2 linked regions of the Schizosaccharomyces pombe genome follow. The protein of the gene in region 1 interacts with the protein of each later gene in a pairwise test. Each region holds a gene or a part of one and is shown on either strand. Other genes may lie near its edges.

Region 1 (12,916 bases):
GGAATTCGGTTTCTCTAAAAACTTATGGCATATGACAGGGTAAGTAAAGTGGGTGCCAGGCGATGGTCCACAGTGGGGGTCTATTTTCATATTCAGTTGAATACTATTAAGGTACACTTCTTGAGTATTCAAATTACCTTTACTTATACCTGAAGTGATACCAATGTGGGGGTTGTTACATCTCGATTATACATAAGTAATCAAGTATTGAAACGCAGGTGCATTTAGATGATAGCAAGTGTACTAAGTAGATCTATTTATGAATTATGCATTTTCCATACCTTTTTCTCTTCGGTAAATGAATTGGTAGGTTGGTATAGCTAGTAGAAATACAAAGTAGTAAAACAAACGTTTTTTAATGCTAATGTTTGAAATAGTATCTGGGATAAACTTGTAAATTGCAAATACATCCAAATCTCCATATAAACTTCACAATTTAAAAAAATTATTTAATTTAAAAAAAAAAATAAATAAATACCTGCGAGGTTTCTCGTTCTTACCATTTAATCAAATTTTCATAAATAAATATGTGAGAAATTGCAATCCAATTTTCGTCACAGATATTAATCAGACGAAGGGTAAAATACTCTGCTTAAAATATGAATCAAGATTGAACAATCTTAAGAATTTTATACATGTGTAAATCTTCAAATAATATCAGGAAAAAAAGAATATGTAGAAGGAAGTAAACAATTTTAGCCTGTTGATTTGTAAATTTATTTTTTTTAATTCACACTTCGAGCTTTAACATTAAACAATTATGTAGTTAATTACATGATATTATTCTGTTTTTGATACGTTGCCTTAAACAACAATTATTGTAGAGGCACCATGTTAGGTTAACCTCGTCTTTCCCTGTATATGAAATTAGCCCGCTCACATATTGTCTTTAATGATTTTTTTGGATGTATGGATCTAATTTATATACTGCGTTTTAATCATACATTATTTGATTTTTTATCTTTTTATAAAGCAGTTTTACTCAATGACTTCAATTAAAGTAGTGTGCCGAATTCGGCCCACGAACCAGTTGGAACAAGACCTTGGAGGAAATAATGTGATATACCCATTAAACGATTCTACTGTTCATATCGAGGTAGGTTTCAACAATTGATCTTTACTTTAGAATTCGGCTGACATGATTAAAAGACTAGTGATTACTCAGGAAACTTTGTATTCGATCGTGTTTTTCATCCTTCTAGCACTCAGAATGATATATTTTCGTATTCAATTGAATCGACAGTCGATGGTATGTGAATGATAGTAAAACTTTACACGGCGTTGAACGGATTAATTTCATCGTTGTCAGCAACAGCTTGTATGAAATTATAGCATAGCCTTTTTTTATATGCGCTCGTTTTGACGCTTCATTTGAAACGAATTGCCATTTTAATACATTGTTCGAATCACATTCAAGTTGTTCTGAATTTCATTAAATATGTACTAATATATTATAGACTTATTCTTGGGTTATAACGGAACAGTACTAGCCTATGGACAGACAGGATCCGGCAAAACATACACCATGATGGTATATTCACAATTTCACCTGGCACACTTTTCTAACAATCTTTAGGGTATTGAAAATAATTTCGAAAAAGAAGGAATGACTCCAAGAATGCTCAGGCGTATTTTTGACAAAATCCGCGATTCACCATCTACTACTGAATACGAAGTGAAGGTATCATACATGGAAATCTACATGGAAAAAATTCATGATCTACTTTCCGGTAAGCCTTCAAATGCCGTAGAAATTTTGCGACGTTCGTATTTAATTTCAGCAAAATTAACCATGATTTACAGAAAAAAATGACAGACTGACGGTTCATGAAGATAAACTTCAGGGAGTTTATGTTCAAGGTTTAAAAACGATTTACGTATCAAGTGAAACGGAGGCATTGGATATTTTAAATAAAGGTATGGGGTCACGTGCCGTTGCAAGTACGTCGATGAATGCGCAAAGTTCACGGTCTCATTCTATTTTTGTACTCGAAGTTGTCCAAACGGACACTGAGTCCGGCGAAACTCGACGAGGCCGGTTGTTTTTAGTTGACTTGGCAGGTTCCGAAAGCGTAGGAAAAAGTGGAGCAGTCGGGCAAACCTTAGAAGAAGCAAAGAAAATAAACCGTTCTCTTTCAACTCTTGGAATGGTTATTAATTCTCTCACAGACAGCAAATTATCACATGTTCCTTATAGAGATTCCAAGTTAACGCGTATTTTAAAAGAGTCTCTTGGTGGAAATTCTCGGACCACTCTAATTATTAACTGTTCACCAGATTCATACAATGCAACAGAGACCTTATCTACTCTTAGGTTTGGACATCGTGCAAAGAGCATCAAAAACAAAGCGGTAGTAAACTCAGAACTTTCTGTTGATGAAATGAAAAGACAGCTGTATATTTATAAAGATGCTTTGTCTCGTTGCGTTTGTGGAGCCAGAATTAACAATAACTTAGACTATAATAATTGTCATTCTAACGTATGGTCAGGCGAGCATTCCCTCACACTGTCAAATCTCGCCGAAAAATCCAACTTAAAGGAAGCAGAAATCATTCAAGGAAATAGAACAATTCAGGAAAGTAATAATGACAGAGACGAAAGCACAGTTGCTTCGATACACAGACATAACTTTGATTCTGATTCTATCAATCGTTTGTATGCTGAAGCACAACTTGAACTTAAACAACGAGATGGTGTTTTATCATCCACTAAACAGCAATTGTCAGACCTTATGACTGCATTGGGCGATGCTCAGGAGCGGTATGTTGAGCTTGTTAAAAACCACAGAGTAAATTCAAATCTTACTGCAAACAACTCATTAAATGACAAACCGGGTTTTACAATAGAACAGAAAGATAAAAATTTTTCGATAAATAACGAGAGAAACAATTTTTTACAAAAACTGAGTACTTTGGATTCCTCACTGGCTGCTCTAGTAAATGTTCAACGAAAATTGATTAAAGCTTTAATTTCCAAAGAGCGACCTCAAAATGGAACAGTAATTAAGAAAATTCAAGGGGGCACTTAAAAGCTACACTTTTTTACTCTGCTTTGCGAAGGATTATATATGTTTAATTAATTTCTTTAGAGTTGTTGAGCTCACATTTAATCATGAAATATTGCATCTCGTCTAGCTGCTTTCTGAATAAACTAATTTTCTGACTAATTATTTATGCAGCTTCTTTTATATTGCTGCAGCATTATAATATAAAAGAAAACAGCTACGCAGCAATGCATTGTTTATATGCTTATTCAGCAAATGTGTAACATCTCAAATGATGATGTAATAACAATTCAATAAAAATTTACCGTTATAATATAATCAGCGAATTTAGTAATCTGAGACTACTATTCTTTAGCAAGGATTGACTATTGGCTAAGCAATCATTACCTTTTTTAAGCTACAACGAACTGTAGTTTAAGTGTTACTTGCGATGTATATAATCTTATGTAGGATGTTTATCGTAGATGGTAAAATGTTGTATCAATATAATTATGATATTGAATACACTAACATAACCACACATATATGGCTTATAACTGAAGTCAGGAAAGAAGGTTTGAATGTATCAACATAATGCATTGTTATAAAACTACTAGTATAGAAGATTTACACTAAGGATGGAAATACGGAGAATCATGAATATTATGAAAAGTTGAACTAACGCAGCACAGTATAGTGTAGTGACTTGTTTCTAACAGAACGATCATATTTACTAGCCACCAATCTTCGCTAAACAACATTTACGCGATCTTCAATATCCATTTACATTTTGCTAACACAACTTGTTGAGTTGTTTCATTTCCCTATTTCGAACACTTTTTACCAATCTTCAGTGCTGTAAAGTCGCTAGGAAAAAAGCGTTTTAAATGGTACGCTTATAATTTCCATTGCTGGTTGCCGTGGTCAAATAACTCAAATACATCAGTTTTTTATTTGAAACGATCTTTATAAGATAGCACTTTCTTTTTGGTAATTACAGTTGGAAACTTTGTTTTATTTAGTATCTATACTGGCCTGTAAATTTAGTCTAAAAAAATGAGGCCACCTGACGATCAAATCAACAATAACGTTGGTTCTAATTCTCACTTGGAAAAGTTGAAAGAGGTAAGTGATTTCAATACTTGGATTCTCCTTTTTTAAATATGAAATAAAATGTGATATCTCTTGTTACTTAATTAATTTAAATTACTAACGTTTGAATAAGGCCATGGACCACCAGCTGCAAAAATCATCAAAAATTGTAGGATCGTTTACTAATTCTCAAAACTCTTCTGTTGGCTCTGTTCATTCTCCGATACTTGAATCTCCCACCAGTTTAAATAGGCAGCATCGAAATTCATTTTCTTTCAATAATGTATCTTCTCCTTCACTAGAGGATGAGCGACTTATTAATTTTCCCCGAGTAAATCCAAATCGATTGATGACATCCAAACGTCCCAATGAGTTATTTAAAACCTCCTCAATGAGTTCAGATTGCTATTCTCCTCAAAAATCTAGGGAATCACTAAATTCATTATGCCATTCACCTGCTCCATCCGTTTCTTCTTGTGGAAATGCTTTGAACAACGATAATACTTCTGCTTCGCACTCACTAACTGATGAGCAACCATTTGAAACAGATTCATCCGCTAACTTATTTAAGCAGTTACAGGAGAAGCGTAACCGTACCATTGGAAATGTGTATGAAATGGCTTGCTTATTGGTCTTTAAAACCGGTTTGATGAATTTCTGGAAAAACATTATTGACTTTTTCGCTCAGCAGTTTTTTTCCACTCAAATATCTGTTGTAGAACCGCGTGACCTTTCTGACATATACAATACTCCTTGGCAACTCAGATGTTATTACGATGGCGGTTCCCATTATGATCCGTATAGTAACCCTATAAGTGTTAATGACAACCTTGCTAGCAGTTCTTATGTTACCGTAGTTGCTTCGGATGGTTCAAAGGGTATTATATACAAAGATCCAGCTTCTCTTAAACATGAAGGGGATTTGCTTATTGATAGCAAAGTTGTACAAACAGTCTTGGAGCGTGCGACATTGCTTGTATATACACGTAAACAACAGCACATTGTTAAAAACACCAAGGTTCATGATAATGATTACTTTAGTTCTATACCTAATGTTGATGATATTCGCAGCATTAAGAATTCATGGAAAGTTTTTCATGATGAAAAACTTAATGAATTGAAAAAGCAGGTTGAAATTAGTGCTTCTGCAGCTCAGTTAAATGGACTTTATCCACAGAAAAAGAGAGCATTTGTTTCACATTTCAGTCAGAATCGTAAACCGTATTCCCAAAGTGACATTTCAAAAGCACAAAGTTCGTCTTTTTCGGAAGAACCTTCAAACATTTATGATGAGTATGAACAAAATTTACTTTCTCCTTGGTCAAGATCTCCAGTTGCTAGTCCCTCCATTCAAACAGATCCTAATAGGAATCCATTCTTCCAAAATTGCTTGCAAGAATCTTCTTTCGCTACTGAATCGTCAACAGAGAAGTCTGCTTCAGAGTCCGTATCAGAAACAGCTGTTAATGATGATTGTAAAGGTATGAATTTTTCTGGTAACAGGCGTCAAGAAGATCATTTGAACGACTTCACCAGTTTTCCTACTGAAACTGCTGTCAGTATTGTACATGTTCCTCTGATGTTTCCTTGTTCGGATCAAACTTCAAGCCGTGGGAGAGCTCCAATTGCAATTCTTTCTTTCAAGTCCAATTTAGTTCCTTATCCGGAAAATTTAATAGCCTCCATAGAACGTTTGATACCCTTTATTTTTTCTTCATACTCAAATTCTCAATCTGTTCCGTTACTTCCTTGTCCTACACAAAGGCATCTATTATTTAACACGTCTAGCACTGACAATACCAAGGAGTTGAGTATGAGCGCGAGCTCCGAAAACTCTGATTGTCCTCATAAAGAAGGAGAGTGCGTAGGCAGCTTTTGCAATATCAATGCTAAAGGATCTTCTCTTAATAACATACCTAAATTGCCTAGGTTTGTACCAGTTCCTTCTGAATTTTTTAAAAAAAACCAGCGATCATGGGTTACTTTAAAGAAGCATCGTTTGCTAGCTAGATTGAAGTCTCGAATTAGCAAAAAGAATTCTAAAGTGAACGAGAATTTGAGATTCTCGCTAAATGATGGTGAAAATTATTCAAATGAAACTATTACTCTAAAGAAGGATGAAATTGTTTTAGATAAATCAAAATCATATGCCTGTTGCACTTCTGAATCTCACAAGTATGTGCAAGGGCATTGTGGTGGTCAAGCGCCTCCTTTTCCCTTACTAAAGGTTATAATTGATTCTATACCGGTTCATGTGTTTACTGCGGATCCGGGAAGTGGAAAACTCACATGGGTTAATAGAAAAACTCTTCTTTACTGTGGTTTAAATATGAATGAGCAAATAGAGCTACAATTTAGTCGAATTCATCCTGATGATCTGCCAAACTTTTTAAATGACTGGAAATCTTCATTATTCTCTGGTAGTGGTTTTTATCATGAAATTCGTTTGCAAAGGTTTGATAATGTTTATCGATACTTTATCTGTCGCGCGGTTCCTTTACGGGATTGCACTGGATCTGTGCTACATTTTTTTGGAACAATGACGGATGTCCATGATCAAAAGTTGGCAGAACGAGAACTACAAAAACAATCAGCTATAGCCGCAAATGAAAACAGCTACAGGTCTTTAGCTGAAGCTTCTCCTCAAATTGTTTTTGCCGCAAATGGTAAAAATGGAATTATTTATGCAAATGCGCAGTGGTTAAGTTATTCAGGTCTTTCACTGGAATCTTCATTGGGACTTGGGTTTTTATCTGCTGTATATCACGCTGATCGCAAGAAATGTTTATTGCCTGAATCTTTGGAGGGAACGTTTAATAACCAAGACGAAAGTAATGGTACCAAAACGTTTGCGGCGGAGATACGTTTTAGATCTACCGATGGTCATTATAGATGGCATTTGGTGAAATCTGTTTGCGTAAATAATTCTGCTGATACGTCTACTAATCTCTGGTTAGGAACTTGTACTGATATTCACGATCATAAAATGTTGGAAGAAAAGCTCCAAGAATCTAACATTGAAGCTCAAAGAATTGTTCGGAGCAAAATGCAGTATCTTTCCAATATGTCTCATGAAATTCGAACCCCTCTTATCGGTATTACAGGCATGGTAAGCTTCTTGTTGGAAACTCAAATGTCTGCCGAACAGCTGAGTTATGCACGTATTATTCAGCAATCAGCTAAGTCTCTTTTGACTGTTATCAATGATATTTTGGACCTTAGTAAAGTCAGAGCTGGAATGATGAAGCTAACTAGCCAACGCTTTTCTGTACGAGCTATGATGGAAGATGCAAACGAAACTCTAGGTACCCTCGCTTTTTCAAAGGGAATAGAATTGAACTACACGGTTGACATTGATGTTCCTGATATAGTATTTGGGGATAATATGAGAATGAGGCAAGTTGCTTTGAATGTGATCGGAAATGCTATTAAATTTACGAATGTTGGTGAAGTTTTTACTCGTTGTTCCGTTGAAAAGATTGATTACTCAACCAATACTGTTGTTTTAAAGTGGGAATGCATTGATACCGGTCAAGGGTTTAACAGAGATGATCAATTACAAATGTTTAAACCGTTTTCTCAAGTAGAGAGTTCTACATTACCAAGACATGGTGGCTCAGGTCTTGGATTAGTTATTTCAAAAGAGCTTGTTGAGCTACATAATGGTAGTATGTCCTGTCAAAGTAGAAGAGGCGTGGGAACGCGCTTTATGTGGACTGCAACGTTTACAATGGATAAAACTCCTCTAAAATTTGAACCCCCAGATGGTTGTTGTCCAGTCTGTTTTTGTCCATACGAAAAAAGCAAACAAAGCACAGAAGACTATTATTGCGCAGACGATGGAAACGATAAAAGCGCGACGAATTTTGTAAAATTGGCCGTAAATAAAGCAGATCCCGGAAGAGAAAGCAACCGACGTAAACTTGAATCGGACAAAAATGTTCAATCCAACAAATATGTGAATCCTTTCGCTTCTGAATCGGAATTTTGTCGATGCGGCGCATCTGCTGATCCATACACAGTTCTATTTTGGAGACTCTATAGAAACAAACCTTCTGGGATCAAGTTGGATAAAAGTGCTTTAGCCGTTGTTGTATCACACACTAAATACAGTAGTGAAGCGATTGGCAACATGCTTCAATCAATTATCGATATAAGCTCATTTAAAGATATCGTAAGGTATGGAAATACCTATGAAGCCTTTGAAGAATTGCTAGAGAATCCTATGCAATCCAAGGTCACCCATATTATATTAAATCTTCCGGACATAGAAGCATATGTTTTATTTGTCAAATCACTGCAACTTTGTAGTCTATACAAGGATACAAAATTTATTTTGGTGACTTCCACTCGACAAAAAGAATCATTATCTAAGATTTTTTCAGATAGCGAGGATTGTAATTCGGAAAGCATCCATTACGTTTTAAAACTTGTGAAACCATCCAAGTTTTTTCCATTATTTTATTCTGATTCTGAGGAAAAGGGGAAAATCGGTGCACTTAATGATATGACTCGAAAGGCTGCAATGGAGCAGAAGGCTGATGCTGAAACACTCCGATATAATCTGGCAAAGTCTGGCTTTAGCGTGTTGTTGGCGGAAGACAACATTATCAATATTAAGGTTATAAGCCGTTACCTTGAAAGAATTGGTGTCAAATTCAAGGTCACCATGGACGGTTTGCAATGTGTTGAAGAATGGAAACGTGAAAAGCCTAATTTTTACTCTCTTATTCTAATGGATTTACAAATGCCTGTTATGGATGGTTACCAGGCATGTAATGAAATTCGTAAATACGAATTGGAAAACGATTACCCTAAAGTTCCTATAGTTGCACTTAGTGCGAATGCTTTACCTCATGTTGTTTTAAGCTGCAAAGATAGTGGTTTTGATTCTTACCTTGCCAAACCTATTACTTTGCAACACTTGTCCTTAATCATATCTGGCATACTTAATTATACGAACCAATCAAAGTTACACAAATGATTTGATATTTAATCTTCACTCACTTTTGCTTGTATTTTTAGAAAGGATCTCACTGTTTTAATGCTTTTATTTTTACTTTATATTTTTTCTTTGTTTTGATCAAAAGCTTATTTAGTGCCTATATTTATTTAAATTGACAACTTCTTATTTTGAATATTTTCCAAAATAATAATTATCTAAGCATCTCATATTTTATTTTATTAACTTTTTAATGCATTTATATTTCCAGCGCCCAGAACCAGTATAATAATATTAAATATCACATATTCCCCTTGTTTAATGTAATGTGTATTTTATTGGCAAGTTAAAAAAAAAATTGTATTGTGTGCTAATCAATCAGTTTTGAAATACAAACCAAATTAAAGTATAGGAAGCAGTCAAATAATCAATTCGAGGATACATTCTCATTGTTAAATGCAAACTTTAGGTAATTCGTAATTAGCTCTTGTAGCTCAGTGGTAGAGCGCTTGCCTAGTAAGCAAGAGGCCCAGTGTTCAAGTCACTGCTGGAGCAAATTTTTTCCCTTACCATAAGCGTAAATTATGCTACACTTCACTATGCATCACTACATATATTTGTTCACTGTGTAGACAGGATTTTTATTCTAATTCCAAGGGGAATGCTATAAGCCAGTCCAGAAAGAAAAAACAAGTTCTTGGTTGGTATCAATACCTTTCGTCGTACAAAGTATATTTAGTTCAATTACTGGCTTTGCCTACAACCGATTAGATAATGCATCAATACTTATACTACGTTATATAGTATTACTATTTTACATGTCAGCAATACTACACTAGCTACATGTAAGCTACGCAGTTTGGTATCTGATTTAAGGATACGTAGAACTGCGGTGAGTTTTCCTTGTGGTCTATTATATTACAATACACAGGTTGTATAAGTAGCAACTGAGTATAGGTATTGTATTAACTGGGTTATAATGTTACCTATCACTAATATAGCTCATAACTGAACTGAGGAACGAGGTTCAGTTGTAACGCTATTTATAATATTTCTAAATAGTTGTTATCAACGGGTATCTATGTATATAGACGGATAGTTACCCGTGATTATCAATAAACGGATCTTAGCTAGTATTCCAACATATGACATATAGTGATACGCAACGTAATGTATCATAGCGTAGTGTAGTATTGCTGACACTACAGTTGTGCAACACTCACTGTATGCCATATGTTAGGATTTTAGTTCAATCCGTGTATTGATAATTGCCGATAACCACCCTTTTATTAATTTAAATAGACTCCCACTGTTATGAACCATTAAAAAGATTATAATGAAGCCACCACTAAACCTCGTTCCTTAGCCCAACTATAAACTATTTTACTAATAGGTTACATTGTAACCCCAAATTTAGAATATCTTTAACGAGTTGCTACTTATTTTCCTGTACTACTGTATAAGTCGCAAGGAAAACTCACTGCAGTTTTTCGTATCGTTAAAATAGTTATTAAACTGCGTAGCTGGCAATTAAAAAATCACTGCGTTAAATGTTGAAGGTGATGAAAACTCGACTAACGAAATTTCTGTAAAGTAAGTTACTTCCCTTACCTACCTTGGCAATGCCTGCTTTATTAAAAATAAATAAAAAGAAGAATGGACAGACTAAAATAGACAGACTGTTTAGCAAAAGGAGAAAGACTTCTTTAGCAATTGAAAAAAACCACTCTAAAGCATCTATGTGTACTGGTCAATCACCATTAAACATCATTTCGTACAATGTTCCTCCATTGATTGTATTAAGAAACAAAACGATACGAAACTCTATAGAAGTTTTAGTTGAGGAAATGTTTCGTGACATTCAAATGCGCCAGCAAACGAATGTTTTAGTTGCACAGTGTCCGCGAATGATTGTGGAAACACAGTTGATAGGCTTATTTCAATCAAACTATACCAGTGTTGCTGAAGAGTTAGAACAATCTATACGTACAGGAGACATCCGTCGTCTTTACCTAAATAGATCTGACAAGTTCTGTGGTGAGTCTTGCTTAATTTTGCGACCTGAGTTTGATAAATTATTTACATACTATTTGTGCAAGTTCAAAGATCAGGAACATATTTATACGCTAATCTTTAAGTTGCATAAACTATTGATTGAAAATCCACTACCTTCCTACACATCCGAGGAGTTGAAATTTAATTGGGAGGAACGACGACTGCTGATTAGTATGGGCTTTCTTATTCTTGCTGGCACTGACTCTTACGGAATCTCATTACCCAACCTTGGCATTTTTACTCATATTTTGCGTAACAGCAGAAACGACTTGTCAAATTATTTAAAAAAGAGGCCGTACCGCGAAGTAATTGAATCGTCACTATATAATCGCAATGTTTCGGTAGCTTGCAAAAAGAAGAACGAAGCATTTTTTGGTTGGAAGTTTCGACTTTGCGACGCCATAGGAGCCGGACTGGTTGATTCGTTTATGACTACTTGTGGAAGAGCATTCCGTTTAACTAAAAAAGGACTTGAAATGAAGTTTTAAAACACTGTCGTCAGATAATTCACACATATTCGAGAACAATCGGATACGGTACTATTTATTCATATCATACACTTTCATTAATCAATCTTTACCATTTTTTTCCTCCCTTTTTTATTCAAAAGATGAGCATTATTTTATTCGTTCTACATTTCAAACTCGATTAAGACCTAAATTACAATACATTGAATTTTATATTAAAAAACTTATATAGTTATTATGATATCTATTTCGAATCGTTTTTGTTTATTTGCTTAGGTTGCTGTGCCTGCCGTATAGCATTAAAAATTGGCGTAGCCAATTCTGGGTGCAAGTAAAAATATCGTTTGGGTACAGTAGTGCTTTCAAGGTTTGCGAATGGACGACTATTGTTGGTATCAGGGATTTTGAGCTTGTCTAAAGTATATTGGGATAAGCGCTTTTTTCCTAGAATATTAAATGTATTTAAAGATAGCACGTTTCCCTTTAACGTTGCCTCCGAAACATAAGATTTAGCAGCCCAGTGAATTATTGCAGTCGACAAACTAGTAGTAGTACATGCTAACATGTTAATAAATTTGCTTTGGAAATTTTGGTAATCCGATTTCTTGATGAAACATACCCAAGAAAACCATCGACATTCTCGTTCCCAAACTTAAACCTCCTGCATCAAGTAAAAGCATCACTGGAGAAATCATATAAGTTAAACCTAATGATCCAATCGAAAACTTTTTAATGTTTCCTATAGCTTTTTTAAGTGGAGCATCATATACAGCTGCTAGACTAAATGATGTTGAAGCAAACCAGCGTCTTGCACCAAGTAGTATTTCGGAGGGCATATTCATTTTAGAATTAAGTATGTGAGTTGAATGTTACGATTTTTAAATTTCCATGTCCTTTACTATTTATGACTGATGAAATTAAAGATTTAGAATATGAACCGGGTCAATGTGGAGTGGAAATAGCGAATTGGTAAATTGTGCCTCTCAGTATGGGAGTAATGTAGTATGCTTAAATTGTTTACAATGCTTCAAATGATTATTTATGGATAATTGACTATAAAAGGCTATAAAGTTATATTGATAAGCATTCATTTAACAAGATGATTTAATTTTTTTAACGTTACATATAGGTTCGAACATCTTTTAACTTAATATTCATACAGTATTGCGGTGTATTCATTAACTATAATCTATAACGGTATAAAATATAAAAAACCTTGAGAAAATATTCATGACTAAAACGTCTCAGTTATTAAAAAGGTGTCATTGCTATTCCATAGGAATAGCACGGGCCATGGCTTCAACAAAACAGGAAACAACGTCTACATCCTGTTTAGCCGTTTCGGCTATCATAAGAATCTTGGCTACTCCGACATT
Region 2 (11,339 bases), on another chromosome or scaffold:
GGCTGGTTTCTGCTCAATCCATTAGTGGTACCGGTGCCTTGTGTATAGCAGCTAATTTCCTTGCTTCATTTTATCCATCAAAGACTATTTACGTATCTGACCCTACTTGGGGAAATCACAAGAATGTATTTTCTCGAGCTGGCTTGACCGTTAAGTCCTACAAGTATTATGATCCTGCTACTCGTGGGTTGGACATTAAAGGCATGTTGTCCGATTTAACTTCAGCTCCTGATGGCTCTATTATATTATTGCATGCTTGTGCTCACAATCCAACTGGTGTAGATCCTACGAAAGCTCAGTGGGATGATATCCTCAAAACAATGCAAAAGAAAAACCATTTTGCTCTTTTAGACATGGCTTACCAAGGATTTGCCAGTGGTGATTTTGCTCGTGATGCTTATGCCACTCGTCTGTTCGCCTCCAGCAATGTCCCCATGTTACTCTGCCAATCCTTTGCTAAAAACATGGGTCTATATGGTGAACGTGCTGGCTGCTTTAGCATTTTAGCCAACGATGCTGAGGAAGCCGCTCGTATCGAAAGCCAAACTAAGATTCTCATTCGTGCTTTGTATTCCAACCCTCCCGTCAATGGGGCCAGAATTGCCAACCATATATTGAGCAACCCTGCACTTCGTGAACAGTGGGCTGGTGAAGTTGTAGGCATGTCCGAACGTCTTAAGAGTATGCGTAAGGCTCTTCGCAACATCCTTGAAAAGGACCTTAAGAATAAACACAGCTGGAAGCATATCACTGACCAAATTGGTATGTTTTGTTATACTGGTTTAAATCCCCAGCAAGTTGATGTTTTGGCTAAACAGTATCACATTTACCTCACTAAGAATGGTCGTATTAGCATCTCCGGTCTCAACACTTCCAATGTAAGATACTTTGCCGAAGCTATCAATGCCGTTACTTCGAATTAGTCGGTGGTGAAATTGAAGTGAAAAGATTTTGGTTTATTATATAGACAGATGGATTTTTGATTGATTCTTTGTTCTGAATCTTTTTTGTTCTTCTTTCTGTTTTTATTTTATTATACATACATATAGACAGACTCAAACACACATATACATATACATATATTTGTATACATTTAATTTTTTTTCCCTTTTCATTTCTCCGAAACCATGAGAAGACGTATTTAGTAACCTAATTGTCTCGGCTTATTTTTTTTTCCTTATACTTTCGCTTTGAGGTGAATAACTACAGTTTTGCTTCCAAATAGATGGCATGGTCTGTTTTTAAATGAATGGATTTTGGATCTAAAAATTGACTAAATATTGATTCGTTTTCGAAATAGTATGCTTTTCGTTTGTCTATCTTCATTTATTTCCATACTTTGTTTCTGTAGATGTTTGTCTAGTAGTTCACTTACTTCATACTTTAGATTGCCTCTAGTTAACCCAAAATTTGGCACATTTTACTATCCTCTCTCATATACATATTAAATCCCACTTTTTCGTTGGAAAACTATCAATTATCTTTCCCATTGCATTTGTCATATGTTGGGATTTCCCAAGTTCATCAAACTTCTGAGATGTACGAAATAAGTGAGGTAGGAATGAAATTTGTGCAAAGCTTTTAATTATTTCTAAAAATAGGAGAATATCGCTGGAAATTGGCACCTTTCCAATGACTAGGATAGGCCCTATGTAGTGATATCGAAATAAATATCTGCAAAAAGAGTATCATTCTTCCCTCCCAATGTGCAATGCTACAGCCATCAGGAATTGCTGCGCTTATTAGGAAATGGCCGAAAATGCCAAAGATGGTGGGAAACTGTTCTTCCATCTCCAGTTCGTCTTTTTTTTCTACACTGACTGATATGGAGGAATCATTGAAATTCGGGGTATAGTGAGACGTAGCGTCATTATATTAATATACTTTATCGTTTTGGGTGGTTGTGTATCGGTACATTTGACTGCTTTATTACGTTGCATGGCGTCACTCCCAAGTGTGAGTTTTGCAAACAATTCTTTCGCGGCATTTACCTACTTTCCGTCTCCCATTTACTACATTAGAATATCTAAAAATCAGACATAAGCACAGGCAAAACCATAGTCTCTACTCTCTGCCTTACCCTTGTTGCATTTGAACTTAATTATAGAGAGAGCACTTAACAATCTTGTGAGGATTGGTTTTCTGTCTTTTGAATTGATACGAAAACAATAATATCGCCTTTTTAGTAGAGCTTGATAATTTTAGAACTTAGCAGAAGCTGAAGGCAAGTTTGTGTGGCGTCTAAAACTTGGCATCAAAGTTTCGAACACGCAAAAAAAGCTCCAAAACCGTATTGACTCTTTTCCATTAGAATCGTTGTTGAAGGAGATTTATCCACAAATCCTATTTAGTATTTGTGGGTTGTGTGGTAAAGCCATTTTCTTCTTTTGGTAATAGCCCTTGTACTGTACTACAGGTTAGTGAAACTGTTGATTATTTCATTTTGCTGGCATACCACACATTATTTTTATAATTTGTTTGTGTTGTCGACGCCTCTTTCAATAACTCACATTTCCTCGCTTTAATTTCAAATCGTTGTTAAAAAAGGAAAGTCTTAAATCTGATACAATATTCTGTATCGATTGCTACATTTTACTGTTTGCAAAGTAATACTGCTGATAAAATTTAGCTGAGCTTCTCCATTCGCTCTTACTTTAAACCCTTTTCTTTTTTTTTTGGATTTTCTTTTAATTATTTTCTAAAAAATGAGTGTATATCGTGATAACATGTATATGAAATACGACCGAAACTTCGAAAATCGTGTCGCCCGAAGAAATGGACAGGCGCGTAACGCTAGTCTTGCTAAGACTCTTCACGATTCTGGCATAGCTGAACGTGCACGCTCTCCTTCAGGGTCAGCGATCCCCCATGCTTATCGGGTTATGAATGGTTCTGGAGCGAATGACACTTCTTTACCACTGACCTCAAATCCTGCTTATGTTGCTCTAACGTCACGTATATCTTCGAGCAAAAGTGAAAACAATCAACAATTGGCTGCTAATGAGACGGCTGGCGCACCTGAAGGCACGGAGGAGACCGTTGACATCTCCAATTCTATTAGCGATGACCATGCGAATGCCAAAAATCTTCCCGCTGCTTCAGTCAAAGCTTTGGTTGGGGCTGGTGTCTTGTCGGATGAACTTTCAGTAATTGCTTACGATATGTCATTTGAGGATGAACTCATCCAAGACAAACAGCTCATTGATCATTCCGTTTTTGACCAGTTGCTTGAGATGGATGATGATGATGAGCATGAATTTAGTAAGAGTATTGTTTGGAATTATTTTGAGCAGGCAGAGACTACCATTGCCGACCTCCAAAAGGCCCTAGAGGCTAAGGATTTGAAGAAGCTTTCCTCGTTGGGGCATTTCCTTAAAGGATCTTCAGCTGTATTGGGCCTTACAAAAATGAGAAAGGTTTGTGAACGTATCCAAAATTACGGATCTCTACGCAGTCGTGATGGTGTAATGAAATTACCGAGCGAGGAAATTGCATTGGATTTGATTAGCAAATCTCTGTCGGTTGTGAACGACTTTTATAAGGATGCTCGAGCTTACTTACTTGACTTTTATGAAAAAAATTCTTCTACATAAAAGTCTCAACATGTCAAAGTACCTAGCCTTTCTTTCCCCCTTTTTATGACATTTATACCAGTTGTCTATCAAAGTCTTCTAGTTTTCCCAAATTTACGATAACTTGAAGTTAGTGATGAATTTCCAGCTTTTACGGTTTGAATAGTTATATTTATTATGACGCCCACACTTTTCCCGTACTTTGAAGTGCTTCCCTCTATCAAAGCAAATAGAGTGAAGTAATACAAGTCCTCAATTTAGTTGAGTATCCCCTATCCAAAACTATCAAAAACAGTCTATTTTTTGCTTTACCTCGTCTACCTTTTTGATATTGAGATATGCAACAGGCAGGGTTTTCCTGCGGTTTTTTTTTACGGAACATTTTTGAAGCTCTCGATATCAAACTTTATGTATTTAATAAGCTGCTTTCTCGAAAAAAAAAATTCTTGTTTGTTACGTTCTTACGGTCGTGGCATGTATTTATACCTTTATTTATCTAGTTTATTTACGAAATTGTCTATTGTGATTGTTTATCACAAGCCCAATCCCCTAATGTTGAAGGACTTTAAACCTTAGATAATATGTTTACAACCGGTCGTTTAAGATGCTGAATTTGGTTAATTCAAATTACTCTTCAACACTCATTTATCCCCACGATTGGCGACAGATTTTTTTTTTTTTCGAGTTTGATTTGCTTTGTTGTTGTTTTTTTATGTTTTTCCTAAGTTTTTAAACTGTGTTTTCAAATTTTCTTTAACCTAATGTTAATCATTACATGTACCTGATTCTCCTTTGTTTACCTTTTTTATTATTCAACTTGAGATGTTGATGGATTTTTTATGATTTTGGTGATAACCTTCACGTCCTTGTACATTACTGAGTTGTGAATTATGGTGGACTTCAAATATTGATTGACAAACCTTGCAAAAATTTTAAGTATATTGTTCTTGCTTTTTGTAATTATGATTGCTTTTGTCATTATCTCGCTTTAGAGAGATTATTTAAAGGATTAATGAAAACACCTTAAAATGGTCATTACATACAATAATTATTTATGATTTGATTCATTCAGCGTTTAATATGTGTACTTTCAAGTGTGATCGAACTGACTTTTAGCGTCACTTACTAAATGTTTTTGTTGTTGTGGGTTAAAGATCGAAAACAATTCTTCGTTGTAGATTGTTCGTTTTTGAGAATAAAAACTAAGAAAACACGTTTGCGATGAAATGAAATTAACGAACTTCTTTTTTTTGTTAATCGAAGTATAGTTTGTTCGATTCCGCAAAGACAAGAGAACATTGAAATATTGATTTGTGTGAAACAGCGAAATCAAGTATACCTCGTTAATTAGCGCGGCAAGTAGGATCCTGCGGATTCATAGACGTTCCTTTGGAGGCGAAGCGTTATTAGGATTTTCATACCCGTTGTGCAGCTTTTCGTCGCCTTGTTTTTCTAGAATGATGCGGGATGAATTGAATATGCGGAAGCTACAGATGTGCAAAAACTAGGCATAAACCTCGCTTGCCTTCTTAGTTTGCTAGGCAATGTGAAGCAAATGGTCATAATCCAAGTGATACGCCTGACAGAGACAATTTAATTTGTAAATTATTTTTATCATTGTTTTTATCCTCTGATGTTACAATGTATTCATTGATATCGCATTTCGGCATTCCGATGTTCAACCCCGGTATGCGAGAAGGTGTTGGCCGCTTTTTTCGGTATCAAAGTTGAAATTTTAGATGACTAATCTTATGTTAATTAAAGATAAGAGGACGAAGTTTGCTGAAATCAAGTACAGGTTTTGATTGACTAGGCATCCTCACTAATGGTGTGAGAGAAATCTGTTAGGATATGCAAGCTGTCATTTCTCACTTTTTCAATGTTGGAAACCTGTACACAGACAATGCATACTCTTTTCTATATCAATTTGCAAACTAGATGGCAGCTCATTGTTCTGTGAATAATCAGATTAAGGTACTGAACAACGGAATATGGATTGCAATGTTCTTTGAAGATCTAGAAGGGGAAACCATTTTTGTTAGTTAAAAGTTTTATTTTTTTGTTTTAAGTTACTAGTTATTGTCTTTATTTTCTTATTTTCCTTTCTCTGTGCACTAATATTAAATGATTTTACTCTTACTATTTACCAATTCTCTTGAGCAGATGAAGAGAGGAATATTTTAAAAAATTAGTGTAATCCACGATAACGTACAATTTGCTTTTTCAGAAATCACACACGATTTCGTTAGTAAGTTTAGCCGAACTTTAGAGTTGTGCCTTATACAGATATCTAGAGATCATTTCTGTATAGCGAGCGACCTTTAGTACGACACACTTAGCAAAGTCAATGACGTTTCAGTCAAACAAGTGACTTATATAGGATTCATACGTGCATCCCATTTCATCGTTTGCCAACATGTCCCTCGCTTGGAAAAATGAGTTATTGAAGCTTTTAAAAGAAAATGTCGACTCCAGTGGAGTTATTCATCCCGAATACTTCCAGCTGGCAACTTTACCCACTGGTAATGAAATTTACCCCAGAAATCGTACTGTAGCTATTCGAGGATTTGTCGGTACAGGATGGCATAAACCACGTCCCGATGATGTGCTAGCTACAGATTTATTGGTATTCTCTACGGATATTGCTTCTCACAAAGCTGCTGAGATTGCTGAGCAGCAAAAAAATACATTCCCCTCTGGACCCATACCGAACGCATTTGAAATGTGTGGATGGTTACCAAAGACAATGCAGCAAATTCGTATTTCCGGTCAAATTTGGTTATACACACCAGAACTTGCCGACCGAAATGAATTTCCCGCAGACAAGTTGATCCAGGATCATTTAATAAACAGCAATGGCCGCATTCCCGAAGAATGGTCTTGGGAAGAGGAAAGAAGACGTATTTGGGAGTTACATAGTCCTGAACTTCGCGCTTCCTTTTCTACTCCTCCTTCATACTCCAAATACCAAGGCGATGTGAAGGTGTCACCTTTACCTTCTACCCTCACTGGAAAAGAAGATCCCGGGGTTATTGAAGCTTGGAAGACTGCTTGGGGTAGATTTTCTCTTGTTGTTTGTGAGGCTAACGAAGTCGAGTTTTTGAATCTTACCCCTCCTCCAGGAAAGCGCGTTTTGCACAATAGAGATCTAAACACGAAACAATGGTCCTCCACTCGTGTCAATGTCTAAATGTTTTCCTTTTTTTTCGCACATCCTTTATGAATTGATTGCTCTTGATAAACGTGCAATACTTATGAACTACGAATATTAACTTATAATGATTACTCCTAACATTTTGGTTCTTTTTTTTTGTGGAGTATATGAAAAAGGTCTGATTCCCTCAAATTTGCCTAGCTTACAATTCGGTGGGTTTTGTAGTTGAATTTTTTTTTAGTACTGAAGCATAATACTGAGTACAAACTACAAACTCAGTGTATTCCGAATTTTCTAATGTTTATTTACGTTGTTAAACAACTAAATTATCACTTATCCTATGTCAAATTTCCAATCCGGCCACTTGATGAACTATTTACGTTTATAATAAATAAAAAATTATGAAAATTGTGTGTATTAAAGTACTTACAGGAAGACATTGTAAAAAATTGTTGCGAGATTAAGCAAATAGGCCAACCTACCTGCTAATGATGATCATTTATTAAAAGATCTTACCTGTATAATATTATATTAAGGTTATTACTATATGGCTTGTTTTATTATCTTATATTGTCTTACGCAGGTAGAAATGTAGCAAAAAAAAGGGAATAAAGCACCACATAAGAAACACAATGTCTTATTTGAAGGGACGGTGAATTGCCAAGTCATTTAATTTTATCGAATCAGTATTCATAGAACCGTAAAGGTCCCCGTTGAGTTAAGTGGCATTATTGAATACATGTGTGGATCTTAACTTATTAACGATACAAATTTAAAACCTGTTAACGTATTCCTTACTATACATTAAATACTTTAAGGAATTTTACCAAATTGGCTTATACATTGGATTATTAGTACTCGGTTACATAAGGGATTAGCAATTTCAAATACAGGATTGCTCATCCATCATTTTTTAAGCATTGCTGTTATTTAAGCTCATCTAGATCAGAACTTCTTTTTCTCTCTAAAGTATAGAACACTTGGTTTACAGAGTGACATACACTTCAGTTTGTCAGTTTATTGAGAAATAGGGACGGTATTGCTAGCTACTGGAACCAAACCCACCTTTACTTTGCTTTAGTCTTTTCTTGTTTTCTTCTGTCTTTCTTTTGCATTGAGCTTTTCATCGCTTTTGTTTGGTGAACAATATTATTCAATTTAGAGGTACATATTAATTTGTAATAACAATGTCTATAAGCTTTTCGGAATTGGTAGCTAAGACATTGTTGGACTTAGAGGTTAAAGTTGTTTTTGGCATTGTTGGCATTCCCGTAATCGAAATTTGTGAGGCTATCCAAGCAAGTGGAATTCGGTTTGTCGGGTTTCGCAATGAGCAAAGCGCAGCTTATGCAGCGACTGCCTATGGCTATTTAACTCAGCGCCCTGGGGTCTGTGTCGTGGTAGGCGGTCCTGGCGTTGTACATGCCATGGCCGGTGTTTTCAATTCTAAAACCAATCGATGGCCTTTGCTGCTTTTGGCTGGATCCAGTGAAACATTTCAGCAAAACTGTGGGGCCTTCCAAGAATTGGACCAGGTTTCTTACTTATCACCTCATACGAAATTAGCCGTGCGCCCCCCAAGTCCCAAAATGGTTGTTGATTCCATTCGAAGAGCGTATCGTGTCTCCATGACCGGCACTCCTGGAACATGCTATGTTGACTTGCCAGCAAATTATATTGAATCTACTGTCGATGACTTTCCTAAAGACCCTCTACCCCCAATTCCTAGTTCTCCCAAATGTGCACCTGATCCAACACAGCTTCAGAAGGCTGCATACTATTTAAAAAATGCAAAGGCACCTCTGCTTGTCGTTGGTAAAGGTGCCGCATATGCCTGCGCTGAAAAACAGCTCTTGGAATTTGTTGAACATACTGGCATTCCGTTTCTTCCGAGTCCCATGGGCAAAGGTTTGTTACCAGAATCGCATCCCTTAAATGTGTCTTCGGCAAGGTCAGCTGCTCTTCGTAATGCAGATGTAGTGCTCTTAGCAGGGGCACGTTTAAATTGGATATTTCAATATGGTCTTCCACCAAAGTGGTCTCCTAATGCCAAATTTATTCAAATTGATACCAATGCTGAAACTTTAGGAAACAATGCTGCAGATTTGGATTTAGCAATTTGGGCTGATGTAGGTCTGACAATAGATTGTCTTTTTAAGCTCGTTCAAACTTGGAAGTACAGTGTTGGCATCTCGACCCCTTACCTTCGCACGTTAAATGAAACCCGATCCAAGAATGAGAAAAAGGCTCTTGAATCTCGAAAGTCCAGTATACCGTTGCAAATGAATTATGCTTTGTATGTCGTGAATGAGGAGCTACAAAGCTTATCGCTCAAATCAAAGCGTAATATCACTTGGGTTTCTGAAGGCGCCAATACAATGGACCGGGGCCGTCAGCTTTTAGAAGTAACTCATCCACGTGGTCGACTGGATGCAGGCACTATGTCAACAATGGGAGTTGGTATGGGATATGCTATTGCCAGCGCATTTGCCCATTCATCCGACAAAATAGTGGTAGTTGAGGGTGATAGTGCTTTTGGCTTTAGCGCCATGGAACTGGAAACCGCCATACGCAACCAGCTGGATCTTTTGGTAATTGTAATCAATAATAATGGTGTTTACCATGGATTAGATACTGATGCTTATGAAACTTTACGTGATAATCACCAATTACCGACTACTGCCTTAGGCACTAGTATACGTTATGATCAAATTTGCGAAGCATGTGGTGGTAAAGGTTTCTTTGTAAAGAATGAAGAAGATTTGAGAAGTTCCCTCAGGAAAGCATGGCAAACCTCATCTGTATCTCTCATAAATGTTATGGTGGACCCGGAGGCTGCTCGAAAATTGGTAAGTATTAATGGAATGAATTAGGTATAAGAACAAGCTAACAATCACTAGACATTTGCATGGATGAGCAGTACCAAAGTGAAACCAAAGTTATGACCATCATTTAATTAAAAATAGAAGAAGTGATGTTCTTTTACGATTCTTAAAAATCGGAATACAGTTATTGTTGCTATTCAAATAAAGTCGTTTATTAAAAAAAAGTATTAAATATAATCTAAAGGAAATTAAAAATATTAAAAAATATAAAGATAGTGATAAAACAGCAGAATTAAATAAGCTTAGAGTATGCTTGTTCTATGTCCTTCAGCAACCATTCCTTAGTAGAATTACGATTTCTTCTTAAAGGTAAAGCACCTTCATATGTACCATTATTAGGCTGAGCTGGTAAATCTAATATATGCGAAAGAATGCCATAAATTTCGGTGTTCTGGAACGGTGCAAGCTTCTTTCCCTTAAAATTCTTAAAAGAAGATCCTGAAGCGATAAAAAGTGCTCTCATCACTGGAGACAAATTGTCATAACCATGTACACCCAAAGGCTCATACTCCAACTCCGGTGAATGATCCAGCATCGAGACAAGAGACCATCCAACATCCGGGATCATCCAAACGGGAGCTATTCTTTCATTATTTGAGTAATGCCATCGAGAAGGTATATCTTTCTTTGAATAAACATTCCAATTCTCAGCAGAAGGTAATGACGAGCGAGAATAATTAACAAGACTTTCGTAAATGTACTCATCATCTAAATCAGATTCTCCTCTAAAACCTCCTAACGGCCAAGCATCTCTGTGTGCAACGGCAGACAAATTAAACATATTATCCAGCCAGATAAGACGATTATCGGATGTAGGCGCCATTCCATGATCACTTAAAAAAATAATGTTGACATGCTTATCGATATTTCTTTTCTTCAGTCCTTCAATTAGTTCACCAATTACGATATCAACTTCTTGAATTATGATATTCAGTTCAGGCGAATCCGGTCCAAATGCGTGCCCAACCATATCTACATGGGGAGCATAAGCAAGTAATAACTGAGGGCGGTCTTTATCAGGAAGATCCAGCCATTCGAGTATTCTATCTTTCTTTTCTCTTAGAGTCGTATCAAAATTGAAACCATCCGAATAAGTAGGTCTGTAACCATGATTCTCCACTTCATTTCCAGGCCACATATGTACCGCTGATCGAACGTTATTTCGCTCAGCGTTGACCCATATAGGCTCCCCTTTATCCCACCAAGTTGGGTCTTTGTTACATTCAGGCATACTGTTGACAAATTGCTTCCCAGTTACAGGATCAAAAAAGTTGTTACTAACGATTCCATGGCTCTCGGGATATAAACCGGTAACAATAGTATAGTGATTAGGGAAAGTTATACTAGGAAAAGAAGGAATCAAAAAGGGAACATGGACATTACGTTCAGCCAGGCTCAGAAGATTAGGTGTGAACCCACGATATAAGTAATCAGCACGGAATCCATCCAAGGAGATTACGATGACAGTGGACTGAAAAACATTGGTCCCATTGTTGAAGGAACCTCCAACGATAGGAAAAATAATTGCTTTGAAGCAAAATAATTTCACAATTGCCAATATCAGAATTCCTAAAATGCAAATAGCGGCAATTGCTAGTCCCGATCGTTTTGCCCATTGATTCAAATAAGCCTTTCGATCATTTTTCAAAGGCAAATACTCGTTGGACCCAATATTAGCCCAACTAAACATTTCGGCGAATGTTCAAAATCAATGATATAAAGGAGTAT

The links.
Region 2: the proteins of mak1 (region 1) and mpr1 interact in a two-hybrid assay, tested with the Schizosaccharomyces pombe proteins (one study listed by BioGRID).

The regions. Positions count from the first base shown.
Region 1 is NC_003424.3:4,705,930-4,718,845, forward strand, and holds mak1 (phosphorelay sensor kinase Mak1), read left to right. Parts: upstream 1-3,779; 5' UTR 3,780-4,040; coding exon 4,041-4,109; exon of another isoform or gene 4,110-4,209; coding exon 4,210-9,060; 3' UTR 9,061-9,332; downstream 9,333-12,916. Other genes in the region: kinesin-like protein Klp3, read left to right, coding at 986-1,096, 1,150-1,249, 1,458-1,531, 1,577-1,730, 1,804-3,029; mug51 (variant protein kinase 19 family protein), read left to right, coding at 10,641-11,561; SPOM_SPAC1834.10C (uncharacterized protein), read right to left, coding at 11,785-12,098, 12,160-12,382; secretory pathway protein Sec18, read right to left, coding at 12,809-12,916. UniProt on the Schizosaccharomyces pombe protein: Involved in the control of the SAPK-dependent transcriptional response to peroxide stress. Also has a role in G2/M regulation.
Region 2 is NC_003423.3:1,201,052-1,212,390, forward strand, and holds mpr1 (histidine-containing response regulator phosphotransferase Mpr1), read left to right. Parts: upstream 1-2,000; 5' UTR 2,001-2,705; coding exon 2,706-3,593; 3' UTR 3,594-5,722; downstream 5,723-11,339. Other genes in the region: aspartate aminotransferase Maa1, read left to right, coding at 1-923; SPOM_SPBC725.03 (pyridoxamine 5'-phosphate oxidase), read left to right, coding at 5,989-6,762; 2-hydroxyacyl-CoA lyase Hac1, read left to right, coding at 7,914-9,575, 9,627-9,671; npp1 (nucleotide pyrophosphatase), read right to left, coding at 9,844-11,301. UniProt on the Schizosaccharomyces pombe protein: Binds to the msc4 response regulator which is part of a multistep phosphorelay system that transmits oxidative stress signals to the spc1 MAPK cascade.